2 linked regions of the Canis lupus familiaris genome follow. Each later gene encodes a partner of the first gene's protein in a complex. Links are inferred from orthologs where the notes say so. Each region holds a gene or a part of one and is shown on either strand. Other genes may lie near its edges. The genes, in order: tubulin alpha-1B chain and KIAA0895L.

Region 1 (4,359 bases):
GATCCACATTCAGGGCTCCATCAAATCTGAGGGAAGCAGTGATGGAGGACACAATCTGGCTAATAAGGCGGTTGAGGTTAGTGTAGGTTGGGCGCTCAATATCGAGGTTTCTACGACAGATGTCATAGATGGCCTCATTGTCTACCATGAAGGCACAATCAGAGTGCTCCAGGGTGGTGTGGGTGGTGAGGATGGAGTTGTAGGGCTCTACTACAGCTGTGGACACCTGGGGGGCAGGGTAGATGGAGAACTCTAGCTTGGACTTCTTGCCATAATCGACAGAGAGACGTTCCATCAGCAGGGAGGTGAACCCAGAACCAGTTCCCCCGCCAAAGCTGTGGAAAACCAAGAAGCCCTGAAGACCCGTGCACTGGTCAGCCTGTTAGAAAAAAGGAATAGAGAAAACCTATTACTGCTCTTTGCTATATCATCATAAGTACACAGATTTCCACTTTTCATACAGCTCCAAGAATATAGATCTTATTTTGACAAGAAATGCTTTTAAATACATGTAGGCCTTCCTAGACTTTCTAAGCATTTCTTAATTAAAAATATCTTCATTAGTATTTGTAAAACAGCACCCAAGTAGTTCAGGTTTCAATTGAATTAAAAAAAAAAACAAAAAACTGTAAAGGAGTAGTTCACCTCACTCCATTACATTTCAATTCTGCATTTGAAATGAAAAAAACAAAACAAAACATCGTATCTCAAATGTCTTCCTTCGGATCCTTATTTACTTTATTCTTGAGAATAAACATACCAGTTTCCGAATTCGGTCCAAGACAAGGTCAATGATCTCCTTGCCAATGGTGTAGTGCCCTCGGGCATAGTTATTGGCAGCATCTTCCTTGCCTGTGATGAGCTGCTCAGGGTGGAAGAGCTGGCGGTAGGTGCCAGTGCGAACTTCATCTGGAAAAGGAAAACAAGGTGGCCACCCATCACTAACAACCTGCATGACCCTGCTCAGCCCCAGGCTGTCAGTGGAGCCTCAGACAGACCTCCTGCCCCAGTGCCCCGGGAGCTCACTTGGGTTACTGAGGCCAACTCACCAATGACTGTGGGCTCCAGGTCTACAAACACTGCCCTGGGCACATGCTTGCCAGCGCCCGTCTCACTGAAGAAGGTGTTGAAGGAGTCATCTCCTCCCCCAATGGTCTTGTCACTTGGCATCTGGCCATCGGGCTGAATGCCGTGTTCCAGGCAATAGAGCTCCCAGCAGGCATTGCCGATCTGGACACCTGCCTGGCCAACGTGGATCGAGATACACTCACGCTGCGGAAAAAACAGATAAAAATAAAAATCAGTCTTAAACTAATCTAGTAATGACGGCAAAGCAGAACAAAATTCATGTCATTTCTACAAACTTCCCCTTCTAAAACTAGTTAAAACACAATACTTTTAGATCTCTAGGGGGGAGAATCCCTTTGCTTTTTGCTCTGCATCGCTTTTAACGAATTTCTGTTCCCCACCTCTATTGGGAAGGCCCTTTTTTCCAGAGCAAGAGAGCTTAGTCACAGCTTCCTCCTTTGGAGGATGAAGATAGATAGCCATTCATCCAGGGCTCGGGCCTCTGAATGCCATTTTAGACTGGGCAGCCAGATTTCCGGGCAGTTCCCATCACAGGAAGCACGTGGCCAGAGCAGTGCGGAGGAAACGTCTGGCTGCAGGGACAAAGGGCGGGGCTTTGCGGCACAGGATGAATGAGCAATTCAGGGAGTGCGCGCGCCCGCGCCCCTCTGCGGCCGGCGGGGCCGCGCAGCTGCAGAGACACGCCGCAGCCACGTCTGCAGAAGGTCTGCCTCCGCCAACCCTCTTCCGCTTCCCCAGGCGTTGGGCTCAGCCCAGCACCTCCACATCTGTCTGGGCAGGGCAGGGGATTATCGGCGGCCCAGATCTGGAGCAAGATCCGATTTCCGTCCCCTCGGAACGCCTCACCGCCACCACCTGCTCCTACACGCATTCCTAACTCATACCGAGTTAAGGACAGATGGTCTCTAGAAGCTGCTGGGAGCTAATTGTCCCGATACCCTGACGTAACGCAGCACACTGACAAGGAGCTGTTCTCCTCCACATTCATCTTACGGCTGTCGTTGAAAGAAAGAAAAAAATAAATAAAAAAGGAAAACTCAGGCTACCAGGAGCCACGCCCTACAGCGGCAGGCCCGCAGCGACCCGGCGCGCACGCGCAGACTGCAGGGGCGGTCTCCCGCCTCTCCCTGTGGCGGGAAGGTAACGGTCGCGCGTGCGCTTTTGTGTCCGGCTCCTTCCCGCCTCCGCGCTCCTGGCAGAGGAGGAAGTGAGGGCGTGCAGAGCCCGCGCGCGCGCCCGCCAAAAGCGGGGGAAGGAAAGGGGGGGATGGGAACGCGCGGGAAAAAGGCTGTAGGGTCTCGGGCCGCCGCCGCGCCCCAAGAGGTAAGGGCGAATGGAGAACCCCGACCACGGTCTCGGGAGCCGGCGCCCGGCCATCCTCTCCCACAGTCCGAGACGAAAACGCGGCGGCCCCCCGTCCTGGCCCCAGCTGTTCTCACTGCTCCCGCCCTCGCCTCGCCTCTCGCCTTCCCAAATCAGGGCGCTCATCTCCGGCTGGCGCCCCCTCACCCACCCCCGCCCCCGCCCCCGCCCCGAGACCGCCAGGCTCGCTTCCCCCGGTCTTCCAGGGCAAGGGCGGCGCCCCGAGCGGCCCACTCACCATGGTGGCTGCGGGGTAGCAGGCGCAGGCGACAGGAGCAGACACCGGGTCCCGGTTACCGTCCCCGACAAGCTAAGAGTCGAGGTAAGTAACGCACTGAGGCGGGGGCGCCGCCGGAGCCTCTTAAGTAGCGGTCCGGGAGGGCGGGCGGGCCCGGGCGGTGCCACGGCCGCGGGCCCCTCCTCCCGCCCGGCGCGCCCACTCGGCGCCCGGCTCGGCCGCCGCAGAGGCGGGCTCCTGGCCCAGGGCGCCCCCTCCCCCCGCCCCCCCCCCGCGCGCCGGCCGTGCGGGGCGGGGTCCGCCGCGCCTGCGGACAGCGAGCTCGGGTGCTGCAGTCTGCGGCGCATGGCTGCCGGGGCCCGGGCGGGGGGCGGGGGCGGGCGCGGGTTCGCGAACCAGCACGGGGACGGGAGAGGAGGCCTGCCTCAATTTGGACGAACCCTAAGACTTAAGAAGTCCGTACAGCGTTAAAGCTGAAGCACCATGAAATGCAGAAATTTCTGGTCCGGATAGCTCAGCTGATTATTTTCAGGTTGCTACAATTTGTCAGTGAGTCTCGCCTTTTTTTTTTTTTTCCCCCTTTTCTCAGCTCCTTTAAAGGCGGTGCAGTCTTTACTTAACCTGATAATGTGGAGGATGCAAGGTTTAGAAAACAGACTCGTTTTATTTGCTTAATGACTTGCTCGTTAAACTAAGGTGGCAGACGTTGGATGCAAAAGCATTTGAGTCATTCAGAGAGTAATACCTAAGTTTGAACATCGCAGCCGTTAAAAGGGCTTCCTAGGCCCCGTGTTTAGGCATAACCAACAATTTTATGGAACAGTTCCAGGGGCTTTCAAAAGGGAAATCCAAAGATACATTTCAAATAGGAGAGCTGAATTGTAGAAGTGAGGGCAGAAACTTGGATAGTGAGGAAATTGTTGACACTGAAGGATGTTAGGAAGTAGGGAAACCTCGTGTTATTTAGAGCTTTGCAAAAACTGTATGTAATAACTGCTTTCTGCTGGTCAAGATAGATCAGTTGATTATAGCGTCCATCTAGGAGGCCCAGATTATAGTGGATATCCACTCCCTCCCAGCTCTGCCTTTGAGGAGACTATTCCATGACCATAAAGTATATAAACCCTTAGAAATGCATAAAGTGGTTAGTTAGGGTTAAAATGGGGCTTTAAAATGGGCCTAGCAGAAACCTATTGCTGTTACGCTGCTCCTCAAAATCTCCTCCCAGTGATAGTATGTTAGTAAAGAAAAAGTAAATATAAAACAGTAATAATTTACAGTTTACATTCAGTTATTACCTTACTTAGACTTGGTAAAAACTTCACCCTTCATATCAGACAAATAACAGATTTACACTGTTAATATGTCTGTAGTTTATAAGGAGATATATATATATATACATACACATATATAGGGATATATATACATATATGGATATATAAGGATATATGTATGTATATATATATATAAAGATATACACACATACACAGATACAGAAATATTTTTACTTCTTATATATATGTAAATTTTCCACTCATATGAATCTGGAATACAAACAAGAGGTTTTCTTTTATTTCTAATAAATATTTTTTTGTAATCCTGTTGAAAAGTCTTCAACTCAAGATCCAAATTTGTGCGTATTTTCCAAACTAGATTCCTGGGGACAGGAA
Region 2 (4,520 bases), on another chromosome or scaffold:
GCTGGCACCACGGCCTGCATCCTTTCGAGTCTTAGCAATGTGAGGCAGGGAGGCCGCAGACCGCAGGGTGCCCCCACCTGGGTCCCGTGCCCGTCCAGGTGGGGCCCGACCCTGGGGGCCACCTCCCCGCCGGCCAGTACTATTTACAGTATAGGTGCTCTCACTGCGACGCATGTGGCCACGGTGGCCCAAGTGCAGCTCTGAGAAGGGCTGCAGCTCAGGCCTGGGCGGCAGAGCTGAGGGGATTGACAGAGCCAGGGGCAAGGCCAGGGACCGAGGCCAGGGGTACAGCAGTGTCCCATCTCGGTCTGAGGGCTTCAGCCGATGGCCCAAGGATGAGGGACTAGCTGGCGGGCTGGGGGGTGCCTGTTCATACACCTGAGCCCCTGAGTCCAGCACCATTCTGTCCTGGGGGTCACATCCAGCCGGGTCACTCCAACTCCCCACACTGTCGACTTCTGGGGACACAGAAGGGCATGTGGAGACCATTATGAGCCGGTGTGGCCTGAGCATCAGCAGGCCTTGCGCTCCACAATGCCCTGGCCAGGTGTTCAGTGGGCTCGGGGCCTGCCACCAGGGGTCTGGGTAGCTGCCCCTCACCCCCTTCCCGGTGTCCATTCCCTCCAGGCAGGCTCATCCAAGGAAGCTGGACTGGGGGAAAGCAGGAACTATGCACTCACCTAGATGGTGGTTCTGGAATCCCCTTAGCCTATGAGCTGCCGAGAGCAAGGCCCGAGCCCCAACTCGTGCTCAGCGCCCACCTAGACTGAGACCTGGTGGCGTAGCCCCAGCTGCCGGGAGGACAGCTGAGGGGGCCTCACTACCTTCAACCTGCCTTCCGCCTATGGCATTTTCTCGGTCTCACCCCTCGCATCCCATCTAGCTCCACCACCTCCTCCACCCCAGTTGGCCTCAGTCAGGTCGGGGGCCTGCATGTCCCTTGATTATGTTACTTCCTCCACCTGGAATGCGTCCTCTCTCCTCTGGGTCATCTGTTCAAATCCAAATTAGGATCAGCTTTTGGGGAGCAGAGGGAGACTTGAGCAAATTCAAGCCAATTCCTGGTCTGTCTCCTATCAGAGGCCTCTTTCTAGTGGTCATCCCAGGCCAGCGTTGGCATGTTCACCCCTTGCTCTGTACTAGGGCTCAGAACAAGCCAGTCTCTCCCCAGAGACTGTCTGAAGGCTCCAGACTTTGAACTCCTCTGCCTGCTCAGGGCCACAATTCCAGCATTTCTCCAACGCCATCAATCTCTTCCTCTCTACTGGATTCTTTCCATCAGCATAAATACATGCTGTTATTTCTGTCCTAAAAAAAACAAAACCAAACCCCCACTTGACCCCAAACTCCTCTAGCCCCACATCTCCCGCCAGCTGCTCATTATTGCAGCACAACACCCATCACCCATCTGTACACAGTCTCAACCCTTCTTTCCTCTTCTCTCTTACGTTTCACTCCAATTAGGTTTTTATCCCCACTCTCCATTAAAATTGAGCTGAATCTGACCAAGGTCATCAATGATCTTCATATTGAACAGTGCACAGGACATAATTAATCATCTCATCTTGGAAACATGTTCCCCACTTGGCTTCCCAAATACACTCAAACATGTTCTCCTACCTCACTGGCTGTTACCTCTTGGCCTTTTTTGCTCATCATTCCTATCTTCCTGACCTCTTAACACTGTAATGGCTCAGGACTTGGAAACTTCTATGGACACTTCTCCCCTCTTCTCCATTTATACTTACTCCCAGAGTGATTTCATCTGCTTTCATGTTTCAAATACATCAGCCCAGACTTCTATAAACTTCAGACTGGTGTTGCCAGTTATCAATTCAACATCTTTACCTAAAAGTACAATAAGCATCTAAAACCGAACATGTCCCCTATCTGGAATGCTTCTCCCCATATAACCACAGGACTCACCTCTCCCACTTTCCTCAGATTTCTGCACAAATATGCTATTAGACAAGTCTCCTTGAATCACTATAAAATGGTGAACCTCCTCTTTCCTCTCCACCACAATCTTCCCTTCCCCACATTATTGGTTTCTGAAGCAGTTATCACCATATGAAGCACAGTATAGTATAGTTATCTGCTTTCTCCTTTCGAATGTTCAACAGCTGTGTCCCCAGAACCCAGAACAGTACCTGACCCAGAGCAGTTGCTCAATAAATGAACCCAAGAGTACTTCTTCTCAGAACTGGAAACATTCCTTGTCCACACTATGTCTCCCTATCTAGATCTGGTCCCCTGCCCCCACCTCCCTTCCCTCTGCCTGGTGACCAGCTCTTTGAAAAGATTTCAGGCCTCAGACTTTACTCTTCTCAACCAACTGCACACTTCTCTGGACTCCTCACTGGTCTCTGGGCACAATCTCTGGATCAATCGCCTTCATCTCCACTCCCCCCTCTTTCATTCGACCTACGTCTTCGCAATTACCAAGAATACAACTGTTTCTTTCACTTCTTTTGCCACGATTGCCCTCGCAATGTCTCTGTAGCAAATTCCTGAGCATTCCTCAGGGCTCGGCTTGGGTCTCACCTCCTCCGGGAGGCCTTCCTGGCGTCTTGGAGGCTCCCAGTGTCTGGGCGGCTCCTTTACCACCCTAAGCTGTCACTGTCGGAGCCCAGATCCGTGTTTCCTCACCACCCCCTTAACTCCCTGAGGGCAGGGACAGGTCTGACTGACCCCCATGTCCCAAGCACCCAACACTACATGAGGAATGAATGAAAGATGACTGGGGAGGAGCCCGGGCACTAGGCGGAGTCTGGCGACAAATGAGAGGGTGTGGCCTGCGCCAATAAAAAACTCCCGGAGAAGGTAACGTGGAAGGGGAGCCAATGGGGACGGGGAGATAGAGGAGGGGCGTGACCTGCAGCCAATAAGAGGCGGAGGATGGGACAAGGGGCGTGGCCAGTGGAGGGCGGAGCCGGAGGACAATGGAGGGGGGTTCTCGGCTAGAGGAGTAGGGATCGCGTCGCGCGCCTCCGCGGCCTCCCGGGGGCTGGGGGTTCCGCCCGCGTACCGCGCCCCCACCTGTTCTCTCCTCTTCTCGCCACCGCCGTCCCCTCTCCGCAGCCACCAGTCGCCGGCCGCCCGGCCCGCGGGAGCCGACCGCTGGTGACGCACGCACTCGGGCGCGCGCACGCTTACGCGAAGGCGCGCGTAGTCGCGTCAATCTCGGCGGCGGCGCGCGCCCGAGGAGGCAGGGGCGGGGCCGGGCGAGCAGAGGGGCGGTGTCCGCCACCGGGTCACGCCCCTGGGCGCGGCCGTGTCTTAAGCCCGCCCCCTCCACGCGGGCCGGAGCGTTCCCGTGCGCCGGGTGCCCGGGGGCCTCGCGGTCAGGGCCTCCACACAGTGCCCTGGCGCGGACAGGGGGGCTGTAGTCCGCCTGTGGGGGCGGAAGCTCGGTACTTGGGAGCCGCGTCCACACCGGCCGACGCCAGGATACGGGAGGCGCCGCGCACACATCAGGGCCGGAGCCAGGGTACCTTAGGCGTTTCGCTGAGCGTGGACCCCCTAGTCATCGCATTTTTATTTCATCCGCCCTTCCCCAGGACACAATTCAGGCTCTGGGGGCCGTCCCTGTGTTCGGGGGCAGCCCGGGGTCAGGCACAGGGCCCCGAGGGAAGGCAGGAGGACAGCGTAGGCGTAGGTGCCGGCACGAGGCTGAAGAGTGCGCGGCGACCCGCGGGGGGCGAGGGCTGTGGGCCGGCCTGCAGGGAGCTGAGTGCGGCCAGGCGCTGCTCTCGGGACACGTCCCCGCGCAGGTCCAAGAGGGCAGAGACGTGATCCTCGCTAGGGGGCGCCACAGGGGTGTGTGTCACCTCCGCCCCACTCCTCCCAAGCCCGCCCCCGCTCCATCCCCCCCCCCAGTCTTCACACCTCACGTCAGGAAATTTTTGTCGCAGGCCTGCCACCTCGAGGCCAAGTAGCATGGGGTCGCGGAGGTTCAGCAGGTCCCGAAGAGCGAGGAGCACGGGCGCGCACTGAACACTCTCCTCCAGGCCCTGAGCACCGCGGAGTAGGTCTCGAGTCCCCCTTCGGCCCCCGCCCAACCACTGAGACTCCCGCCCAGCTGCTCCCCTAACGGACTCTCACCAAGCCGAGGAAGAGCTCCCGAAGCTGGGCCGCGTCGTGCTGCAGGCGCTCGGCCGCCCGGGTCCTCTCGTCCGCGCCTCGGCACACCAGGCGGCCCTGCATCAGCGCGCGCAGGTACTGCAGTACCACCGTACGTTCCGCCTCGGCCAGGAGCAGCTGCGGAGAGCGCAGTGGGTCCAGCATGCCTTTTCCGTGGGCGCTTCCCTACTCCACAGTCTTCCCCTTCAACGCACCTGGACCGCAGGATTCCGCACGCGCCTGAAATCCTGGCAGAAGCGCTCCGTCCTCTTGCACACGTCGTCCAGCAGCTCTGGGCTCGAAAGCCACCGGCGTGAGGGCAGAGCCGTGAACAGGGGCTGCGGGATGGGGGAGCAGAAACAGGGCTGGAGGAACAACCAGACCTAGCATTCCTCCAG

What was found.
Region 2: the proteins of tubulin alpha-1B chain (region 1) and KIAA0895L are in contact, whole or in part, in a cryo-EM structure (PDB 7Z6S), measured with the Homo sapiens proteins. The link is inferred for Canis lupus familiaris from reciprocal best matches to the Homo sapiens genes TUBA1B and MATCAP1. Residues at the interface, in NP_006073.2 of Homo sapiens: Asp345, Trp346, Arg422, Glu423, Ala426, Ala427, Glu429, Lys430, Asp431, Glu433, Glu434, Val435, Gly436, Val437, Asp438, Ser439, Val440, Glu441; in NP_001035805.1 of Homo sapiens: Lys219, Cys220, Trp223, Val226, Arg227, Gly237, Glu238, Val239, Val240, Val241, Gln242, Leu243, Met253, Met254, Val255, Glu256, Asn257, Ser258, Arg259, Pro260, Thr261.

Annotation. Positions count from the first base shown.
Region 1 is NC_049248.1:41,187,073-41,191,431, forward strand, and holds the start of tubulin alpha-1B chain, read right to left. Parts: upstream 2,938-4,359; 5' UTR 2,693-2,937; coding exon 2,690-2,692; intron 1,273-2,689; coding exon 1,050-1,272; intron 910-1,049; coding exon 761-909; intron 380-760; coding exon 1-379. UniProt on the Homo sapiens protein: Tubulin is the major constituent of microtubules, protein filaments consisting of alpha- and beta-tubulin heterodimers. Microtubules grow by the addition of GTP-tubulin dimers to the microtubule end, where a stabilizing cap forms.
Region 2 is NC_049226.1:82,767,442-82,771,961, reverse strand, and holds the start of KIAA0895L (uncharacterized protein KIAA0895-like homolog), read right to left. Parts: upstream 2,946-4,520; 5' UTR 2,519-2,945; coding exon 2,443-2,518; intron 1,849-2,442; exon of another isoform or gene 1,776-1,848; coding exon of another isoform or gene 1,749-1,775; intron 1,309-1,748; exon of another isoform or gene 681-1,308; intron 459-680; coding exon 1-458. Other genes in the region: EXOC3L1 (exocyst complex component 3-like protein), read right to left, coding at 3,612-3,801, 3,889-4,013, 4,105-4,260, 4,338-4,460. UniProt on the Homo sapiens protein: Tyrosine carboxypeptidase that removes the C-terminal tyrosine residue of alpha-tubulin, thereby regulating microtubule dynamics and function. Also able to remove the C-terminal phenylalanine residue of alpha-tubulin TUBA8.